Rattus norvegicus: one gene and its partner. The protein of the gene in region 1 interacts with the protein of each later gene in a pairwise test. Links are inferred from orthologs where the notes say so. Each region holds a gene or a part of one and is shown on either strand. Other genes may lie near its edges.

Evidence for each region.
Region 2: the proteins of Efemp2 (region 1) and Stk16 interact in binary tests that used the Homo sapiens proteins (3 or more experiments, as listed by UniProt). The two-hybrid records come from large-scale screens. The link is inferred for Rattus norvegicus from reciprocal best matches to the Homo sapiens genes EFEMP2 and STK16.

Annotation. Positions count from the first base shown.
Region 1 is NC_086019.1:212,206,707-212,217,582, reverse strand, and holds the start of Efemp2 (EGF-containing fibulin-like extracellular matrix protein 2 isoform 1 precursor), read right to left. Parts: upstream 5,862-10,876; 5' UTR 5,765-5,861; exon of another isoform or gene 5,535-5,764; coding exon of another isoform or gene 5,469-5,534; coding exon 5,358-5,468; intron 5,128-5,357; coding exon 5,079-5,127; intron 4,440-5,078; coding exon 4,233-4,439; intron 3,010-4,232; coding exon 2,887-3,009; intron 2,647-2,886; coding exon 2,530-2,646; intron 2,419-2,529; coding exon 2,299-2,418; intron 853-2,298; coding exon of another isoform or gene 836-852; intron 625-835; coding exon 505-624; intron 421-504; coding exon 294-420; intron 107-293; coding exon 1-106. UniProt on the Homo sapiens protein: Plays a crucial role in elastic fiber formation in tissue, and in the formation of ultrastructural connections between elastic laminae and smooth muscle cells in the aorta, therefore participates in terminal differentiation and maturation of smooth muscle cell (SMC) and in the mechanical properties and wall integrity maintenance of the aorta.
Region 2 is NC_086027.1:84,149,806-84,160,606, forward strand, and holds Stk16 (serine/threonine-protein kinase 16), read left to right. Parts: upstream 1-4,479; 5' UTR 4,480-4,674; intron 4,675-4,860; 5' UTR 4,861-4,949; coding exon 4,950-5,035; intron 5,036-5,566; coding exon 5,567-5,786; intron 5,787-6,073; coding exon 6,074-6,207; intron 6,208-6,355; coding exon 6,356-6,476; intron 6,477-6,602; coding exon 6,603-6,698; intron 6,699-7,059; coding exon 7,060-7,181; intron 7,182-7,290; coding exon 7,291-7,429; 3' UTR 7,430-7,711; downstream 7,712-10,801. Other genes in the region: Glb1l (beta-galactosidase-1-like protein precursor), read right to left, coding at 1,913-1,973, 2,282-2,432, 2,659-2,825, 2,988-3,047; Tuba4a (tubulin alpha-4A chain), read right to left, coding at 9,139-10,110, 10,335-10,483, 10,738-10,801. UniProt on the Homo sapiens protein: Membrane-associated protein kinase that phosphorylates on serine and threonine residues. In vitro substrates include DRG1, ENO1 and EIF4EBP1. Also autophosphorylates. May be involved in secretory vesicle trafficking or intracellular signaling.

The sequences.
Region 1 (10,876 bases):
CACGTCGGCAGGCACACTTCGCTCTGAGGTGATGCTCATGTAGCGGTGCACGATGGATGACGGTTGCTCTCGACAAAGGGGGTTGGAGGCAGGACAGAGGCAGCGGCTAGAGACCCCAACACGAAACAGCAGTGAGGGCTAGGCCCATTCCCCAATACCTACTTCCTAAAGAGGAAAACCCGACTCATTCCCATGAGATGTCATGGGTACTCACCAGCCTGACTAAACCAGTTAGCCCCACAGACCTCTGGAAATTGTAGTTACCACAGCAAACTGCCACCAGGTTGACTCACTTGTCCGACACTTGGACATAGGGCTCCACACAACGGTTGGTGTCCACACAGCGGTAACCCCCATGGAAGTTGACGCAGGTTTGGGCCTCCGAACACTGGTGTGCACCTGTTTCGCACTCGTCAATGTCTGTGCCAAGGGAGGTGGAATTGGACTCTAGGACTGACAGTAAGCTGCCAGCCTCTCAACTCCTGCCCACCCAAGCACCTGTACCTTGGCAGAGCCTTGTGGCCAGCAGTTGGTAGCCTTGTGGGCAGTGACAGGAGAAGCGACCTGGCTCATTGACACAGCGGTACTGGCAGAGGTAACTGGAGTAGCTGCACTCATCGATATCTGAGGGAGGGTGGGGATGAGGACCCTGGGCCGAGGGTAGTCCTCACAACCAAGTCCCACAGACCTTTACCGAGAGAGCCCAGCCCCCCCATAAGGCTGGATGTGGGAAGAGAGAGGGAGTGAAGTAAACCCATAATGCTCAAAAGGGGGACTGAAGGTTTCAGAGGAAGGTTAGAGGGCTGGGGATATAGCTCGGTGGTAGAGTACTTGCCTAACACGCTTGAAGCTCTAGGTTCCATCCCAGCAAGGAAAGGGAGAGGAAAAAGAAAAGACAAAGAATAGAAAGGTTTGAAGCTTGGCATGGTGCTATAGTCTACAATCCCAGCATTTGCGAGGTAGAGGCAGGAGGATTATACCAAGTTCAAGGTCAGCCTGATCCACATGGGGAGCCCCACCAGGATTATATTAAGATCAAAACCAGCCAGGACTACATAACAAGATGGATCGTGCCTTGAAAAGCAAACAATGGGGTGTCTGATCACAACATCTGGGAGGCAGAGGCGGAAGCAAGCAGGTCAGTGTGAGGCAGCCTGGTCTACATAAGAGACTCCAGGCCAGCCAGGGCTACACAATGAGACCCTGTCTCAAAACAACAGCAGACCTTCAAGCATATAGAGCACCTCTCTCCCAGGACTTTAAGAATACGGAACAAAGCACTAGCCTAACATGGTGGCCTGTGCCTCTGATTCTAGCACGACTCAGCAGATCTCTGTAGGCTAGCCTGATCTATACAGAGAGCTTTACAACAGCCACGGTAATATAGGCTCTGTCTTAAAAAGCAACACCAGTCTAGAGGCTTGGGGGTACCACATTGAGCCACGTTGGTCCACGTTGAGCCAGTTAAATGAGTAGGTTAGACTAGAGGTGTCCTGAGGGGCTAACCTGCTCTATTCTTTTCTGTAAGTCTTGCGATTTGCAGTCAGAATGCCCAGATTGGCTGAGCGTGTGACCCACATGCAGCATCCTATCTGTCTGCTCTTGCTCCTTTCACACCGCTAAACACCAATGATGCTGTGCCTCACAGAGCACACAACAATGAGGGTGTGCCGGGTGACATGCTGAGATGCCTGGGGTAAGCCCAAGCCCCGCCTCATCCTTCCCATCTGAACTTGGACAGGTCACTTCATCTCTGTAAGGGGAAAGATGAAAGTCACCACTGTCTCTCAACGTTCTGCTTACTTTCTACAGTTCCACCAACACACCTTTAATGTTCTGTTTACAAAAGTAAATCATCACTGACCAGATAAAACGAGACTGAAAATTTAAGTTATAAACGCATGGCACCTACTTTTTCTGCCTGAGACTTGATGAAGCCTGTCAGTCACTGTCCCTAACTCTCCAAATAGCCCATCTGCCTTAGAAATGTGCCCAGGAAGAAGAGACTTTCCTAGTGCAGGATTCCAATGCAAGTCAACTCAACTTTCAGGAAGACGGGCACCTCCATCCCTCTCTGTCTCTCCAGCAAGCTTCAGAAGCACCTATCGTACCAACCCCCCAAGCTGGGAGTGCCAAACAACCAGCTCAAGATGGAGTTCATGAAGGCCTGCGGGTGCAGAGAGCGAGACATCGAAGCCTCAAACAAATGACTGTGTGACTGGAGTTGGTCCAATACGTTGCAAGTGCGGGGGGGGGGGGGTACCAATGCAGTATCCAGTAGCACAAGTGGACTCTCACCACTGCAGGAGAAGCCATCCCGGTGTAGCTCATAGCCCTGGTTACAGCGACACAGGAAGGTCCCATAGGAGTTGAAGCAGCGCTGCTCACACGGGGCTCCCATGTCACACTCGTTCACATCTGAGGGTGCAAGGACAAACACCCACTCGACTTGGGCTCAGGAAGGAGATCCTGCCCCTACCTCACCCATCTCTACCCAGGATCCCAGAACCTGGTCTGGCACAGCCTCACCCACACAAGAGCGGTTGTTAGGTCCCAACTGGAAGCCGGGCTCACACTGGCATCGGAAAGAGCCTGGCAGGTTCACGCATCGGTGCTGGCAGTAGCGGTAGCGACACTCATCTATGTCTGAGATGGGAGGCAGGAGACGGAAAGTAGAACACAAGCTAGGTGGGGCCTGAGCCAGCTCACCTCAGCACCCACGTTCACCCCTGCCTTTGTCGGGGAGCTGAGTTGAGTCGCCCACATGTCTAGTGGGTCTGGTGACAGGAGTGCACCAGCAGCAGAGGGCTGGGGTGACGTAAGGTATTAGATCAAGAAGCAGACCAAGGTCACAGAGCAGGAACTTAGGAAAGCCACCGAACTCACCTACACATTCGGGCCCAATTTTTCGGTAACCATCGGGGCAGGTGCACTGATAGGAGCCAGGAAGGTTATGGCAGTCCTGGCTAGGGCGACAGTCATGTATAGCCTGGGTACACTCATCCACATCTGTGGGAGACACCATTCAGCCTTTGCCTGGAGTCCCCCATATGCTAAGGACCGTGTGAGGAGGGGGCCCATGCACATGGGTAGTTGGCATCAAATCATGAACATTTAATTGAGATCATCCCAATAGTCCAAAAAAGAGTCCACCAAGGAATTACCAGGAAAAGTACCCATTAGGAGAACATACTAAAATAGGGTCTTGTGGGAACTGGTGGCACACACCTTCAATTCCACCACTGCGGGGGAAGAGAGGCAAGAGGACCTCTGTGAGTGCCAAGCTAGTTGTAGCTAGGGCTACAGAGTGAGACACTGTCTTAAAAATAAATACATAAGTAAACAGACAAATAAAGCCCTGTCCATTTATACCCCGCAGCTGACTGCAGGGCCAGGATCTCTCCTCCTCCCAGACCTGACTCCAGATCAAAAAGCTGGCAGAGGCTGGGAGCAGAGCTCTCACATGTCTGTCCAGGAACTGAGGCTGCTAGGGACATCCTGGGCCTGCAGACCATGCACTGAGCCTGCAGTAGATGAAAACTTGGATATTTCTCTGAGCAGCCAGACGGAAGGAGCATGAGGTCTGGGGTATTAAATAGGGAAAATTACTTTATTATTTTGTTAATTAATTGTTTTGAGGTAAGATCTCGGGCAGCCTCAGGTGGTCCTCAAAAGTTCTTACGCAGCTGAGGATAACCTGTACTTTCGGATCTTTTTGCTCTCTCCCCACTGGTGGGTTACAGGTGTGCGCTACCACACTTGTTTTTTGTGTTTTTTTTGTGGTGCCAGGAATCAAATCCAGAAACGATCTCAAAACCCAAAGTACATAGCTGGATGGTGGGGTACAGAGGCAGGTGGATCTCTGAGTCTGAGTTCTAGGATGGCCAAGGCTACACAGAGAAACCCTCTCTCAAAAATCAAAAACAAAGAAACAAACTAAGGAGGACTAAAATAACTCTACTGGAGGATTAAAAGAAACAAGAATGATATATGCCGAGATGGCACCATGATAAAACACATTACTTTGAACAGTAAATACAAAGTTAGTGTTTTTTTCTATTCTTTTTTTTTTTTTTTTTTTTTTTTGGAAGCTGGGGATCGAACCCAGGGCCTTGAGCTTGCTAGGCAAGCGCTCTACACTGAGCCAAATCCCCAACCCCCAAAGTTAGTTTTTTTTAAAAAAAGTTTATAAAAGGCCTGGAAGCCTAGGTGCCAGCATGGCCCCCACTTACCCACACAGCTCTCCTGTTCATCAGGTTCATAGCCCGGAGGGCAAGGATTTGGGTGTTGAGCAGAGGCTGCTGGTGGTGGAGGTCCTTCACTGTGGAGATCACTGATGACGGCAGCAGAGCGAGGCAGACACAAATAGCCCCCGTAGTGGTTGATGCATTTCATTTCACCCTTGCAAGCCTCGGGGATGGTCAGGCACTCATTGACATCTGCAGAGAGGGGCCTGCTGGGCACAGCCAGTCACCTGGGCTGGCCCTGGAGGTAGTGGGAGGCAGAAGCCCAACTTGGCCTTCTCTAAACTGAGCAACACAGCAAGGCTTTCTCTCTGCTCAGCAAAGGCTGCCGACCCAGAACCCCTCCCAGGCATTTGCAGGACTGGGTGTGTGGCCCCCTATTTCACACTGTTACCCCCATTCTCCTGCCTCCATGTGAGTTTCCGTTTCTCTTCAAATCCCTGCCTCTACCTTTGCCCAAGAGTAATTTGCAGGCCTCCTGACCCACAGAGCTTGTACTGCCCTCCCAGGGTGCACTGGGATAGAGCTGGGCTGGGAGAGTGCAGTGCAGTTCAGGGAAGGTGTACGTATTTCCTTCTTTCTGGGCAATAGCCAGGTGCTCTCTTGCCTCCTGCAGGACAGAGGCAGAGTTTGTTCACCCTCTTGAAGGGGTAGGGCTCCTAATTGAGTGGCACAAGAGAAGCATGGCTGCCTACCAGATGGCTGGCTACCAGGGTGGACAGTGGGAAGGCCATCAAGTTCCTGCTGCAGCTCTGGGAGATAAGGTGTCCCTGGGAAACAGAAGTAATCCCCTTCCCAGTTCCTGAAGATGGCTAGTACCCCAGACATACTCACCCCGGCAATGCTGGCTGTCTGCATCCCACTCATAGCCATCTGTGCATTCCTGGAAGGGAACCCGATGTGGCCAGTGACCACCCTGGCTGTCTCCTCCAACTAGCCAGGCCAAGACCAGGGCTTGAGCTCAGTCATGCTCAGGTCAGCTCCACACAATGGCCTCCAGCTTTCCACCAACCAAGCAGGGGAGAATCATTCCCAGAAGCAGCCTCCCCAGGATCCTGCCTCACTCGCTGTCCTTCCCATCCCATCCCAAGCTGGTGACCCCAAGGTCCCCACCGTGTAGCTGTCCGGCTCTTCGGAATCCTGTGGGGACGCTGCTCCCAAGAGCAACAGCAGAAACGCCCAGAGCAGTAAAGACCCGGGGAGGCAGGAGGCAAATGGGAGCATCCTGGGGCTGAGAGGGGGTGGGCAGAAGTCAGGGGTTTCTGCCACGACACCCCCCATTCCCTCCATCTGGAAGGGGAGGCTGGGTCCCAGCTATCTCGTCCCAGGACTGTTCTGGGAGCACCGAAACCTTCCAGGGCTGGGGACCGAGTCCCTTCGCAGGCCTGGGGCTCAGGGCCGCAATCTTGGACCGCCCCGCCCCCGCCCCACGAGTCATGAAGCGCAGGCCTCTCCGCTCCGCGCAGCATATACTCGGCCGCAACACGGCCCGCGCCCTCCCTCCGCTGGAGGCCACTCACGCGTTGACTCCAGCAGTGCCTGCGGGCGGACGGACGGACCGCGCAGCTCACTGGACGCGCGGCCCCAGGAAGCGCCCCCCGCCCGCCCGCCGCGGCCCACCCCGGCGCCTCCGCCCGCCCTTCGGCGGATTCCTGAGCCCGCGCCAGGGGGAGGGACCCCGACCCCCCGGCTTCTCCGCCCCGGCCGGCCACAGGCCCCCACCCGGTCCCCCGCGGCGCTGCCTGGAGTCGCCTGTGGACGCCTAGTCAGTTTCCCAATGTTTGGGTCCTTAGACCATTGACCTTGATGCTTGGCACCCAAACTCACCTGGGGACCCCAGGCCCTCACTCAAAATGATTATTCTGTCCACCTAAACCCTATCTAACCTGTGCCTCCGGAATCCCTCTGTGCACTCGCACCTCCGTGTAACCGGATTCTGCGCTTCCCAGAACCTAACAAACATTTATTTAATCCTCAGATCTCCAAATGCTACCACTTTCAGGATTTTATCCAGTGTTACACTCTTAGATGGTCCTAAAACTTCATCCAAGGTTTCCTGATCCTCGTCCAGGCATACAATTAATTGTCCAATTCCCTCTGTATCCACCTCCACCACCCCCAGGTGGTCTCTTTACTCAGGGCACTGCTTCCCCAAGCCCTGCCTGCGCAACGCTACAATAGTATGGGGGCGAGGGCAGCAGTAGTCTTGGCCCGAAATGAATGGAAGCCCCTGAGAAGGCGGGCAAGCTTGAACTTGGTCGCGGAGGACACTAGGGCCCAGTGCCAGCCCTTTCCCGACCCTCTTCCCATCCAAGTCCCCCACCCAGTTTCCGCCTCCGCCCCCAGCGGAGATCATGCCTTGGAGGCGGAGTCTGGGTGCCTCTGGCGCCCAGGAAGGGGTAAATGGGCGGGACTTCGCGTTGCCCACGTCTCAGGGCGGGTCTAGACGGGAAAGGGTTGCGTGTCCAGGGCTCCCGTGCTTGGCCCAGACCGCTAGCGGCAATAACCCGGCCTTCCTTCCTTCCTTTCCCTTTCCCAACCTCTTTCCATCTTTTTTTGTTTGTTTTTGTTTTGTCTTTTTGCGACAGAGTCTCAAACTGTAGCTCTGACTGTTCTGAAACTCACTAAGTAGATGAGGCTTCGAACTCACAAAGATCTGCCTGTCTCTGCCTCCTAGGTTCTGGGATGAAAGGCGTGCACTACCATGTTCCGCTCTGCTGTGACGGAAATAAAAATTCTGCTTCATTTCATTTAATTGTCTGAGTGGTAATGTGTGTGGTATGTGCGTGTGTGCCTATGTACTAATGGAGACTATCGCTCTCCACCCTAAGACAGTGTTTGTCAAAAAAAAAAAAAAAAAAAAAAAAAAAAAGACAGGGTTTGTCACTGAGTCTGGAACTTACTATTTTAGATAGATTGGTTGGCTGGCTAGTGTGCTCTCAGTCCCCACCTCCCTGACCCTCTAGGGGTTACAGACATGCATCACCACTACAGCTGGTCTTTATGGTAGAGCTGGGGATCAGAACCCAGACCCTCATGCTGTGTAGCAAGCATTTTACCCAGTAAGCCATCTCCTCAACTTCCATTATCTTGATTAGAAAATTTGTATTGGGGTTGGGGATTTAGCTCAGTGGTAGAGCGCTTTAGCAAGCGCAAAGCCCTGGGTTCAGTCCTCAGCTCTGGAAAAAAAAATTTTTTTTATTAACTTTTAAAGATGCATATGTGTGTGCATCTGTGTAGAGGTATGTACACCCGAGTGCAGGTGTGCACAGAGTGTGGATCTGGAGTTACAGGAAGTTGTTAGCTGCCTGACGTGGGAACCAATCTCAGGTCGTCTGGAAGAGGAATACTAGAGTCATTTCTACAACACTGACTTTTTTTTTTTTAAACAATAAAGGGTTAGGGGTGTAGCTCAGTAGCATCCTGCTTGCTTGGCATTACCAAGATCCAAAGTTTAATCCCAGTAACTCCTGACACACTAGAGTGTCTGTACATGAGTGTGTGTATGTGTGAATGTACGTGACTGTATGTGAATGTATGTGTATGACTGTGTGAATGTATGTGTGAGTGTGTAAATGTGTGTAAATATGTGTGAATGTCTGTATATGTGTGAAAGTATGTAAGTGTGTGAAAATGTATGAGTGTGCATGAGTGTGAATGTGTGTTGGAATTCTGATGTAGAACAAAGCCCACAGAGGCAAAAAAAAGTATGGGGAGCAGATGAAGTCCTGAGCAAACATGGATCCCATTAATATAGGACCCAACCACTCGGACCTGTGGGAAGGGCAAGGCCTTCTCCAAGTCAGGCTCAGAGAACTGCCAAGGCCTTCCATGAGCACAGATGCTGACAGTGTGTGTATTTTGAAAGCCCAGATGACTGCAGCCTGAGACTGCTTCCCTGCAGAGATCCCCTAAGGAGATTAGCTAACTCTGTTCTTCCAGCTCCTATAATAAATCAGCTGAGTTTCCAGGCTGCTGATGTCTCCCTCAGAACACACGGCCCACCAGATCCCTGGATTTTCTTCATGCCTGTCTGTTCTTTCTCCATTCCCCATTGCCCAATCAAGCCAATCTCAAAGCCTGATTGGGGGAGGGAGGGTGGAGGGAGGGAGGGAGGGAGATGAGAGGAGAGAGAGAGAGAGAGAGAGAGAGAGAGAGAGAGAGAGAGAGAGAGAGAGAGAGAGAAACACAAGGGGAAAAGTGTCCCTGACCTAGTGGCACATGGCTTTAATCCCAGAACCTGAGGCAGGTGGATCTCTGAGTTTGAGACCAGATTGGTCTCCATAGAGAATTCCAGCTACATTGAGAGACACTGTTTCAAATATACATATAATCCTTGGGTTTTTTTTGGGGGGGGGTCTTGGTGTTTGAGATAGGGTTTCTTTACATACCCTGGCTGTCCTGGAACTCTCTCTATAGACCACACTATTCTCCAAATCAGAGATCCAACTGCTTCTGCTTCTTAAGTGCTAGGACTAAAGGTGCGCACCACCACACTGGCTTACATCCATTATTTTCTTAAGAGGTGAGTTGCAGCTGCGCAGTGGGGGCTTACATCGTTTATCTCCGCCTGAAAGAGGCAGAGGCAGGTGGATCTCTGTGAATTTGAGTCCAGCCTGGTCTACATAGTGAGTTCCAGGACAGCTAGAGCTACACAGTGAGACCCTGTCTTGAAAACAAGAAGACAAGAAACAAACAAACAAAAAAACCACAAAGGTGGGCTGGAGAGAAGGCTCAGCGGTTAAGAGCACCCGACTGCTCTTCCAGAGGTCCTGAGTTCAATTCCCAGCAACCACATAGTGGCTCACAACCATCAGTAGAGAGATCCGATGCCCTCTTCTGGTGTGTCTGAAGACAGCTACAGTGTACTTATATATAATAAATGAAAAAACCACGGGGCTGGGGATTTAGCTCAGTGGTAGAGCGCTTACCTAGGAAACACAAGGCCCTGGGTTCGGTCCCCAGCTCCGAAAAAAAGAACCAAAACAAAAAAAAAAACCAAAAAAACCACAAAGGTAAATTGCATAGTAAGCAACTTACATCTCAGTTAATCTGTTGTTGCTGTTTGAAACAGGATCTCATATAGACCAGGCTAGTCTGGAACTTTTTTTTTTTAAAGATCTATTTATTTATTATATATGAGTACACTGTTGCTGTCCTCAGACACACCAGAAGAGGGCATCAGATCTCATTACAGATGGTTGTGAGCCACTATGTGGTTGTTGAGATTTGAACTCAGGGGTTGGGGATTTAGCTCAGCGGTAGAGCGCTTGCCTAGGAAGCGCAAGGCCCTGGGTTCGGTCCCCAGCTCCAAAAAAAAAAAGAAAGAAAAAAAGAGATTTGAACTCAGGACCTCTGGAAGAGCAGTCAGTGCTCTTAGCCACTGAGCCATCTCTCCAGCCAAGTCTGGAACATTTTAAGAAACCAGGCTAGTCTTGAACTTCTGGCCAGCCTCTCCTCTCAGTCTCCTAGGTGCTAGAATTACAGGCGTGAGCCACCATAACCAACTATTAAGATGTTAATGACGTGAAGTAAAACTCCTGATGATCAAGATCTAACCATCCCAGACACTTGCAGGGATACACTGCAATCTTGCCAAGCCAGAGATGGGATTCCATTGCTACTCCCTTCACAGATGGGAAGGCTGAGAGATTGGGAAGCAACCAAATGGGAAGCTTCCCAGGGATGATGCCAATCCAGGGAAGTTAGGTAAAGTCACCAGGGTGGCAGAGGTCAGAGGAGGCTGTCAGGAAGGCAGGGGCAGGATGACTTGAGCTTACTGGTACAAAATTGGAAGTTCCTGCTCAAGTTTGAGTCCTCCACTGTGTTTCTGAGTCCTCTCTGTCTGGATCTTGGTGCTGTAAGTGACAACAGCAGCTCTGAGTGGTGGTGTGGGACTTGAAGAGCCTGGCCAGGTATTCATTCATGGCTCCTTCTTGTTCTTCATGGGAACAAGGTTCAGTCTTAGAATAGCAGGATCTGAGTTCTAACTTTGTTCTCATTATGTTGGTGACACCTGGGACAAATTGTAGAGTGTTCTCTTTCCTCAAAGACAGTGAGGTTCCTGGACTCACAGCCCGGCCCTGACTGGTTGGTGGCTGGGCAGGAGCTATAGGATAAGGGAGGGACCGAGTGATCAGGGGAGTCACCCATTCATTTAAGTGTTTTCTGAGTGGCCACTGCTGATCAGAATGTGCCAGGACCAAGGACACAGTGCTGTCCAAAACACCATCAGAACCTGTCCTTGCAGAGTTCACGTTTGAGGGATGGAAGGAACCAGGAGTAAAGTCCCCAGTCCTTCCTTTTAGCCTTCCACAAGAGAGCACAAATGACATGTCACCTACATTCAGCCCACACAGCACAAGATCAACTTGGGGTACATATTTGGGCTGGGGGAAACTGGGCTAGGCACCTATGGACAGTCTGTCCTCTTTGTCTTAAAGAGAGTAGCATTTTTTAAATAGAGAGGTCCCTTGGCTTACTGTCCCAGGGAGAGATAGGGGTGGAGTTGAATGGAGCATAGCTTCCTAAGACAGCCCCTAATGTAGATGTGAGGTAGAGAGCATGTAAGTGGATGACTCCAGGATTAGACCCCCCCCCTTTGCCCCAAGCATGAACCCTGGAAAGCCAAG
Region 2 (10,801 bases), on another chromosome or scaffold:
GGCAGGAAAGGAGGCATACGATAGTTTCGGTATGGAATGCTTAAAACCTAGATGGTGGGGCTGGAGAGATGGCTCAGTGGTTAAGAGCACTGACTGCTCTTCCAGAGGTCCTGAGTTCAATTCCCAGCAACCACATGGTGGCTCACAACCATCTGTAATGAGATCTGATGCCCTCTTCTGACCTGCTGGTGTACACGCAGGCAGAACAATGTATACATAATAAATAAATAAATCTCTTTAAAAGAAAAAAAAAAACCTTAGATGGTGGCTGGAAGTTATCACGGAAGGTGATTTCTGCAGAGGTCCTGTGGAAGCACCATATGCAATGCCTGACACTGAGGCGGGAAAGTATGCAGAACAGCAACAAGGGCAGTATGGAGGGGGCCAAGGAAGCAAGCAGCAGCGGACACCAGGGAGCCAGGCCTATGGCCTGGGAGGCTGAGTATGTGGCTCATCTTGAATGACTTGACTGGAGATGGACGTTTTAAACTGTTTTCATAGAAGCCCACAAGTTGCTAGACTAAGAATAGACTCCATGTGAGGAAAGGCCAACTAGGAAGAGCAATGAGGGTGCAGTTAAGATGTCAGCAGGGGAGGTCTGTACCAGTAGGCGGCAGTGTAAGTGACCAGAAATAGTTAAATTCAACACTGACAGACTGAATGGAGGGTGACAGGAAAGAGTGTGGAGTGAGAGGAGAGGTGTGACGGGTTACACTGCAGTATTTAGAGTGCTGGGATGGGAAAACTCTAGAAGCAAATAGTTGCTTTGAAAGGCCATACCGGCACGTCAGTATCTGTTATTATTTATCTAAATAGAGAAACAGCACAGGAGTTTGGCATGTGTGGAGAAGCCATGGTAAAGGTCCTAGGAGAGAGATACATATTTTGGGGTCAATGCAGGTCAAATCTACCACACAAATGAACCAAATTACTCAGAAAAGAAAATTAGGAAAGAGATATGTCTAAGAACAGACTTGACTGGTCAGAAAATTGACTCTTTTTCTACCCATGGCCCACATCTGGCAGTCTCGTCAAATAAAAGTGTATCCACAAGTCTTGTTACACTCTGTCTCTTCCGTCTTCCTCTTTTCCCTCCCACTACTATCCCTGCACTTGAGCACCGTCACCGTCGATCATCTACCATAAGAACCCATTCACTCCTTCACTCTTGTTCTCTTTAACCCAGTTGCACCCAGGCTGAAGTGATATTAAAGCAAATCCAGCTGTGCCATAATTCTGGGGACATTTTCCAGTGGTTTTCTTCTGTAATTGGAATAAATCACAAAGCCCCATCACAGAACTGCAAGGGCCTCTACCATTTGCATAATCATCTCAGCTTAAGTTCCCAGTCACAGTCCTGCCTCCCTGACTACTGCTCCAGGCATGCTGTTCTACTTGCCTCCATCCCGCCATGTTTCTGCCACATTTGTCACTCGATCAGTGCTTTCTCTTTCACAAAAGCCAACTAAAATGTTAACCTTCTCAGAAAGTCTCTTTTCACTACCCTCAATACTTCTCATTATTCATTATTTCAACTCCTTATTTATGTAGCTTTTGTACAGTATATGATCTTATTTATAGTTTTGAAAAACAACTGTTTTTCCCACTCTGTTTTTTCCTTTCATGTTATTCAACTTCTCTTTAGTCCAAGCTGGCTTCCAACTTCCTACATAGTGGAGGATGATCTTAAACTCCTGATCCTCCCATGTCTACCTTATAAGCACTGGGATTATAGGCGTGCATCACTTGCCTGCTCTGCAGCTCACACTACTCTGTTTTATTTTGCACAGGACTAGGTCTTTGAGTTCTCAGTTTCTAGCATCCTGCTAGATGTGAAGGAAAGAATAAATGTATGACCTCTAAATGAGGGGTGGCCTCTTGTTCAGGCATTCATTTTGTTGTCTCAACTCACCAGGATCTGAGGTTCTCAGATGAATATCACGGTTTCGAAGCAACCAAGATGGGAGACCTCCCTTAAGGAAAACATAAAGGCAACACATGAGTAGCTAGGAGGGTTTGTTTCTGATTTGATACAGGGTTTCACTCTGTAGTCCAGGCTAGCTTCAGTCTGTCCCAACCTAAATTCTGGGATTACAGGATAAGCCATCTCTTCTTGAGCTTGAGACAAGTTGAGACAAGTTTTGCTTTGAGGTACAGTGGGGGAGGCAAGAAGGGAGGGGATTAAGTATAGCACTGGAAATGGCCCCTAGAGTGTGGGCAGAAAAGAGTTGAAACCCACAGGAACATCACCTCTGGTTCTGCTCTTTTCCAACTAACTCACCATCTCCCACTCAGCACAGATGTAAGGTCCTGGTCTCAGAATGACCAACAGGTTTGCTTTAGCTGCCTCATTCAGAAAGGCAGTGAGGTCCCGGCTGCCATTAAAGTTATAGATCCCAGGTTCTGGCTCATGGTAGTTCCAGGGCACATAACTGAGAAACGAAGATGTTAATAAGACCTAGAGTTTCCCTAGGAAACTCAGAACTTGCAGAGATGCAGCTAGAAAGAGGTTCTGGGCCGCCCTTTCTCACCCTTGCCTGAGGGGTCCTGGAGCTCAAACCCTTTACAAACCCAGTCAGTTTCCTGGGGAACCCCCCCCCCCCAATTTTAAAGAAGAGTAAACCTCGCTTTCACAAAGCTCTCGCGAGCACTTCTTACAATTGCACAGCGTTGAGGCCGCTCAATTTCATCTTGAGAAGTCGATCGGCCCAAAGAACCCGCGGTACGCGAAAGTAGTGCAGGCTGCCAGAAATATAGCGGAACGGGACCCCGTCCAGGAGGAATCTGTCATGTTGCCGATCCACTACGAAGGAGCGAGCTTCTGCCTGGAAGGGCAAAAGTCTGGCTCGAGTGGTCGGGAGTAAGGGTCAGTGTCTGCCAAGTGCTTAAGAGATAAAACTGGCCTTGTCAGTAGTTAGCTATTTCTCCACTGTTTTCTGTTTTTCCCTCCCCACACCCAGACAGGCAGTCTGACCCTCTCGGTTTACCTGGGACAGCAGCAGCAGAATCACAAGCCGCAGGAGCAGGGAAGGCAGGTCGGGTGGCATCTTCGGACCTTACAAAGTTCTTCTATTCAGTGAGGGCTTTCCCACCCGTCACGTGTCGGATTCCTGGGAGGGAACCTCATCAAGCAAAGGGGCGGAGACCACCTCAAGTTTTCAGGCCAGTTAACCCGGACTCTGCCCGTAGCCTTCCACCATCCACTAGTTTGTAAAATCCTCTATATATTACTTCTCGAAGTGCTGAACCCGAATCAACTCCATTAGCATCACCTGGGAGCTAGTTAGAAACGCAGAATCTCGGGTCCTACCCCAGACCTGTAGAATTAAAGTCTGTACTTTAACAAGCTTGCTCTTCTACGCTGAACTCTCGGAGGGCGGGAACGGCGTCTTATGTCCTCATGACTAGCAAAGGATCTGGCACAAATCAGGCTAAATCTATATGAATGGTAGCAGTAGGGTCAAAACGGATTCAGAAACAGTGGAAACCAGAAAATCTTCATGGTGATCATGACTATGAAAAGGGGAAATGGGTTACAAGGAGCCTGTTCTGGTCACTCTTATTTTTAAGGCGCACCCCTTTCCAATATATACCTGTCTGTCTAGGCAGGAGATGTGACGAAAACTGCATAAGCTTAGAAGTCTAATTTTCCATTTCTTCTGCCTTCACACCAGTGGATTTCAGGGTCAGGGTAGAAAATACTATAATTTCTGTTTATTAACACACACTGAAGGCTATGTTTCAAAAACTGTACAAAAGACATCTCATTTAGTTTTGAAACAGCCCATGAAATGATTTTCATTCTCATCTTACACACGAGGAAAATGAAGGTTGGAAATATTACGTGACTGTCCAAAGTCACAACTAGTTCAGTAGAGCTGGGATTGAACTAGTCACTTTGGCCTCATAATTCACAACACTTTGCTGTAGGTACTGACTTACAGCTGGGAAACATGCGGATCTGAAAGACTAATTCCTGGAGGTGACAAAGCTAGGAGACTGTTAGGACCAGATTTAGAAACTGGCATCTAGTTCAAGGGCACACTCTGACACTGGCCAGGTAGTGGAACACAGGCCAGACCCCTAAAAGTATTAAGGGGTCAGACCTCCAGGGATCTAAGGGTCAGCACCCGCCTTTCTCTGGTCCCTCCTCAAAGCTAGATTGTAATAAGTCACTTTCTAACTCCAGCGCGCGGGAGCTATAAGGCCTCCTACCTCCGACATTGAGAGACGGAGGTCCTAGGGGACTCGGGCAGAGCCCTGCTTTGCTCCCCTTTGGTACAAGTCCCTGCGTCTTGACCCTTACTGAAGGGCAAGTGGGAACCCTCGGCGAGATATAGAAACCAACCCACCCCAGGTCTAGCCCGGCCCCGGCCTCTCACTTCCGGGTCCCCACATCCTCTTGCCGCCTCTTGTTGCTAGGATACAGCAGGCCGTTACTTCGACGCGGACTGATGATGTCACCGTAGCTTCCGGTCCCTGGCCCTTTGCACAGGCAGGAGCCAGGTCACTGAAGAGTTTGTATTGGCAGATCCTGTGCTCGGTCCTCAGCGACGGAGGGTGGACTCGGCCAGAGGTGGGCTCGAGTCCCGCACCTACTGCGCCACCCCATGCCTCACGGGTGTGAGAGCTGGACCTGGCCGAAGGTGGGCCGGGGTTGAAGGAAGCGGCCTGGTAAGACACAGCGTGGCCTGAGGCTTTGGGGTGCCAGAACTCAGCCTTCTTAGAGCTGGAGTCACCAGGGACTGTTTTCTTTAGATGTGAATCTGGGTTCTCGGAGGTGAACCTGAGCTCTACTGGTTGGTATCTCAGTGGCTGTCTGGATTGTTCTTTACCCGCGACCTGCTGTTTTCATTCCAGCATGATCCGCCGGGACCCCAACCCATCGTCTGGAAGAGCCCACTCTCCCTGGAAGAAAGACCATCCTTGAAGAGGATGACTGAGACGCTATGGGCCATGCACTGTGTGTCTGTTCCCGGGGAACTGTCATCATTGACAATAAGCGTTACCTCTTCGTCCAGAAATTGGGGGAGGGGTGAGTGTATGGAAGTCACTTAGCTAGACCCAGGTCATTTAGGGGCAGTAATAGGGACACAAGAGTATTAGCCTTAGATTCTACCTCACCTGACCGGTTAGCTGAATAGGTCAAGAATTGTATTCTAGGCCCTGGCCTCCTGAATCTACTTTGTGTGACCTTAAGTAAACTGGTTTCTTCTGCTTAAACGGAGATGATTATAATGTCTCACTGAGGGACTGGTGAGAAAACTAAGTTAGATAGTATATTCTTTAAAACATGTCACCCAGTGCCTGGCTCATGAGCACTTACTAAATTTTGATTGTTACTTGAAATTAATTGAGCATCTTATGCTCAGACCAAAGGGTCTCAGTGATTTCTGTGCCCCTGCTCTTGAAGATGGCAGACCTTAACGTCTTGAAACTATATGAGAACTACATCGTGGGAGGGTTTCTACTCCATGTGAGAGGCACCCTTCCCTAAGGGAATTTCTCGGGGTCTAAGCCATATGGGAGACGACCGTGGTCCTTCATCGACCCCTTTGGCCCACAGTGGGTTCAGCTACGTGGACCTAGTGGAGGGCTTACATGATGGACACTTCTACGCCCTGAAGCGAATCCTGTGTCATGAGCAGCAGGACCAGGAAGAGGCCCAACGAGAGGCAGACATGCATCGCCTCTTCCAGCATCCAAACATCCTTCGCCTCATGGCTTACTCTTTGAAAGAACGAGGTGCTAAGCATGAAGCCTGGCTGCTGCTACCCTTCTTCAAGGTCAGAAAAGCTTGTGGTTATAGAGGGGATTGTAGCATTGTACAACCCCACCAAGGGCTCTGTGGGCAGTCAAATATAAATACCCTAGGAACACACACCCTGGTTTTGGCCACTTTATATTTGGGGCTCAGAGAACCATAGGATCCCCTATGAACTTGACATCACACATAGCCCCAAATGATCAGTGAGAGTGTATGTGGTAAAAGGGTTGACAGACTTCAACACAAAATAGAATCCTGGGAAATGGAAGCTTCAGAATGTCTCAACACGGAAAACTTGTGTTGTAGAGAGGTACACTGTGGAATGAGATAGAAAGGCTGAAGGACCAAGGCAACTTCCTGACTGAAGACCAAATCCTTCCGTTGTTGCTGGGTATCTGCAGAGGCCTTGAGGCCATTCATGCCAAAGGTTATGCACACAGGTCAGTGGGCGGGCCCTACACTTATTGAAGCCAGGGGAAAGAGCAATGCCAAGAGAAGTGGGGTTTCTCTGCACTCTCTTCATGGTGCTCCCTGGGATACCAGCCTACCTACCCAGGATGCCTTTGGGTCATTTTCACTTCCCTCCAGGGACCTGAAGCCCACCAATATTTTGCTTGGTGATGAGGGGCAGCCGGTTTTAATGGACTTGGGTTCTATGAATCAAGCATGCATCCAAGTGGAGGGATCTCGCCAGGCCCTAGCTCTACAGGTAAGAGAGTCCCCAGGTTTCTTTGGCCATCTCCTCCCCATCCCCAGACCATTCTGATGCATGCACCAATTTGGTCACATGATATGGCTTGTGCTCCACTTTTGAGCTCTGGGGACACTGTTCCAGGACTGGGCAGCCCAGCGGTGCACCATCTCCTACCGGGCACCTGAACTTTTTTCTGTGCAAAGCCACTGTGTCATCGATGAGCGGACTGATGTCTGGGTGAGGAGCATGTGGGTGGGAACCTGGGTGGAGAGGGGTGTGGCTTTGTAACTATTTTGGATTAAAGGGAAGGAGACTTGGTTTCTGTTGCATGGAACCCCAGAGCCACAGTATGTCTCCATACCCGTCCACTTCCTTCCTGGGAACCATCACTGACACTGTTCTCAGGAAGCTGTGCAATCACTGTGGCTGAACTGCTAGAGGCACTGGCTAAGCAGGGGCACACAGACCTCCTTCCTGCTAACATGGTTCCTTGGAGCGAGGTTGGCATATTTTTAGCTTACATGGTCTCCTTTTACCATAGCAATAAGGAGAGAGATGCCATTTTTCACCTTCCAGGAACTAACCAAATTATGCTCAGTCCCTAGGCTGTGTGCTTTATGCAATGATGTTTGGGGAAGGCCCTTATGATATGGTGTTCCAGAAAGGTGACAGTGTGGCCCTTGCTGTGCAGAATGACCTCAGCATCCCACAAAGCCCCAGGTGAGGAGTAAGAGGACACTGAGCATTGTAGACTTGGCCTAGAGCCAGCCGAGTTGGAATCCTAGCAGTTCTAGGTGTCCTCCAGTCCTCTGCCTTCCCCATCCCACAGGCATTCTTCAGCATTGCGACAGCTGTTGGCCTCTATGATGACTGTGGACCCCCAGCAACGCCCTCACATCCCTGTCCTCCTCAGTCAATTGGAGGCATTGCAGCCACCAGCTCCTGGCCAGCACACCACCCAAATCTGATCAAATCAGTGAGCATATTGGGAAGATGACCTTGAATCAGCTCTCATGCCTCATTGGAACTTCTGATCTACACAAGATGGGTCTCACCATTAGGGGCAAGGATGGTGGGTCCTTGTATATTCTGCTCTTATCCCAATACCTGGGCAAGGAGCCTAGGGTGAGTTGGGGGTGGGGGGGATGAAACAGAAAATATGGCTCAAAGCTGGGCTGCTGGGCGCACATCATGTTCTGCCTCCAGATCTGGCAGCAGGAGAATACATAAAAAGTAGAATAAAGTGAAAACAGTCTGTGTGTATTTTAGGTCAATGTGTCTAGAGGGAAAGAATGAACTCTGGTTGCCATTTCCAAGGGTATCTCCTGACAGGAAGTACTGGTGTGGTGTCTTGAGGCAGAGTTACTTGAGTTCTGCCTGCTTGACAGCAGGCAGGTCTTTAGCTTGCCTTGGTCAGAACCAGAGCCTCCAGCTTGAGCTGGTTTCTGTCTGTGCCAAGAAGTGGGACCAGGGTCCCTTTGAAAGCACACTCGACTAGTTCTGTCGTTCATTCCCAGGATGGTAGCTTAGAACAGCCCAGCTTGGCAGGTTTGCCAAGTCCATGACCTCTGGGTGGAAACACACCAGGTCTTTTCCCTTCTTCAGCAGAGGACAAAGGGAGTGGAGCTGGCAGCCATTTTTTCCAGTCTCCCTGACTATTCTAGCTCACACATGGTTAATAATTGATGAGGCTGGTGGCCTGTGGCAGTATCCAGCAGCCACTTCCTGCCCTATTTGCTGAGTAAACAGGCACCTTGCCTTAGCTGGGTTTTAAACCTGTTCCTCAGGGAAGGGCACTGCTTCCCTGAATCACCAGGGAGGGGAGGCAAGAGAAAGGTTGATGCTCCTGTTCTGGAGATTTTGAAGCTTCCTCCCCCAAGCCATGTCCACCCCTACATGCTGACGTCAACACAAGTCCTAGGGTGCCTATTAGTGAAGTATAATTTATCCCTAGGGTCCAGGAAGGAGGCTTCCGCCCTGAGCAGAGGCTGAGGCCAAAAGAAAGCACAAACAGAGGGGAGAGACCTGACTTTTAATAGCGTAGCTCCAGCCCCAGAAAGCGAGATAGACAGCAAGCTATGCAAAGCTGCCAGAGGTGCCCTGGCACAAACAACTAGGAGGTTGCCCTTGTTCCTGCCCATCCCCCAAGTTTGTGAGGTGGCTGTATGCCCAGGAACTTTGGGCCCGCACAGCCCCTATTCCCAAATCCTCAGTGTTCAACGAAGCCTGGGCCAAGCCTTGCTTCTAGAGCTGTTGAAGGAAGCAGCAGCAAGAGTAAAGTAGTCCAACCATCCAACACAGACACTCAGACATCAGTTCCTATTTCAAAAAGTGAAGACTTGTATCTTGTAATAGCTTGTAGCTGGACAGACAGGTCCAGGATTTGGTCCTTGTTTCTTTCCTATCCTGAGCGTCCTTAGGACCTTACATCGAAGTCCTTAGGTTCATACTTTCTGAGGCTCAATGTGGGACCCTTTGGCAAGTCTCACCTTCAGCCATGTAAAGGTAAAATAAAAGGTCACAAGCAGCAAGTAACAGGAGGTAGCAGCCAAAGCAGAAAGAGGGGGACAAGCAGAAGCTCAAGCAGTTACAAAGGGGACAAGAAACCATGCAAGGAGACTGTTTATTTCGAAAGGATTTTGCAATAAACACAGTGAACAGGGCTCCAAGTAGCTGTCTATTCTTCTCCCTCATCCTCGTCCTCATAGGAGTCGATGCCTACTTCCTCATAATCTTTCTCCAGGGCAGCCATATCCTCTCGAGCCTCGGAGAACTCCCCCTCCTCCATTCCCTCACCCACATACCAGTGTACAAAAGCCCTCTTGGCATACATCAAGTCAAACTTGTGGTCCAGGCGGGCCCAGGCTTCAGCAATGGCGGTTGTGTTGCTCAGCATGCACACTGCACGCTGCACCTTGGCCAGGTCGCCCCCAGGCACCACGGTGGGAGGCTGGTAGTTGATACCGACCTTGAAGCCTGTGGGGCACCAGTCCACAAACTGGATGCTGCGCTTCGTCTTGATGGCAGCGATGGCAGCGTTCACATCCTTGGGCACCACATCTCCCCGGTACAGCAGGCAGCAGGCCATGTACTTGCCATGCCGAGGGTCACATTTCACCATCTGGTTGGCAGGCTCAAAACAGGCATTGGTGATCTCTGCCACTGACAGCTGCTCATGGTAGGCCTTCTCTGCAGAAATGACTGGTGCGTAGGTAGCCAAGGGGAAGTGGATGCGAGGGTAGGGTACCAGGTTGGTCTGGAACTCTGTCAGGTCCACATTGAGGGCCCCATCAAAGCGCAAGGAAGCTGTGATGGAGGAGACAATTTGGCTGATGAGGCGGTTGAGGTTGGTATAGGTTGGGCGCTCAATATCCAGGTTACGGCGACAGATGTCATAAATGGCCTCGTTGTCCACCATGAAGGCACAGTCCGAGTGTTCCAGGGTGGTATGGGTGGTCAGGATGGAGTTATAGGGCTCCACTACAGCCGTGGACACTTGTGGGGCTGGGTAGATGGAGAACTCCAGCTTGGACTTCTTGCCATAGTCAACAGAAAGCCGTTCCATCAGCAGAGAGGTGAAGCCAGAGCCAGTGCCTCCTCCAAAGCTGTGGAACACCAGAAAGCCCTGGAGTCCTGTACACTGATCAGACTGAAAGGCAAGGAAGAAAGAACAATATAGGTGGGGGGAAGGCCTGAGGCATTTTCTAGTTTTACAAGGTCTAAAGTATCTCAGATGTTAGGACAAAGACTGAACGTCCATCCCCTAACAGCATCAAATTCTAAAACACAACTAGTGATGATCCTAGAAATGGACCTCAACACTTTCCTGAGCACAGAGTCCAAAGCTCCCTCCCTGCCAGGCTGCAGTCTCACCAGCTTGCGGATCCGGTCCAGCACTGGGTCGATGATCTCCTTGCCAATGGTGTAGTGACCACGGGCATAGTTGTTGGCTGCATCTTCCTTCCCAGTGATAAGCTGTTCTGGGTGGAAGAGCTGGCGGTACGGGCCATTTCGGATCTCATCTGAAAGACCGAATAGCACATTGCTAGGGCAAAAAAAACCACACGACTATGCTCCTTCCTCCTCCCCACCCACGGAGTGGCAGTTGAAGCCAGATAGATGAAAGAGTTAGCTCATCTTCCTGCCAACCTGGGATCAGCGTCCATCTTCAGCATCAAATAAAATCAAGAGGCTTCAAAGGTCACAAAAACCCAGTCAAGACATTCTTTAAAAGACACACTCTCCACCTTCCTCAAAGGGAACCCGCCCTGCTCACCAATTACAGTAGGCTCCAGATCCACAAAGACTGCCCGAGGCACATGTTTTCCAGCTCCAGTTTC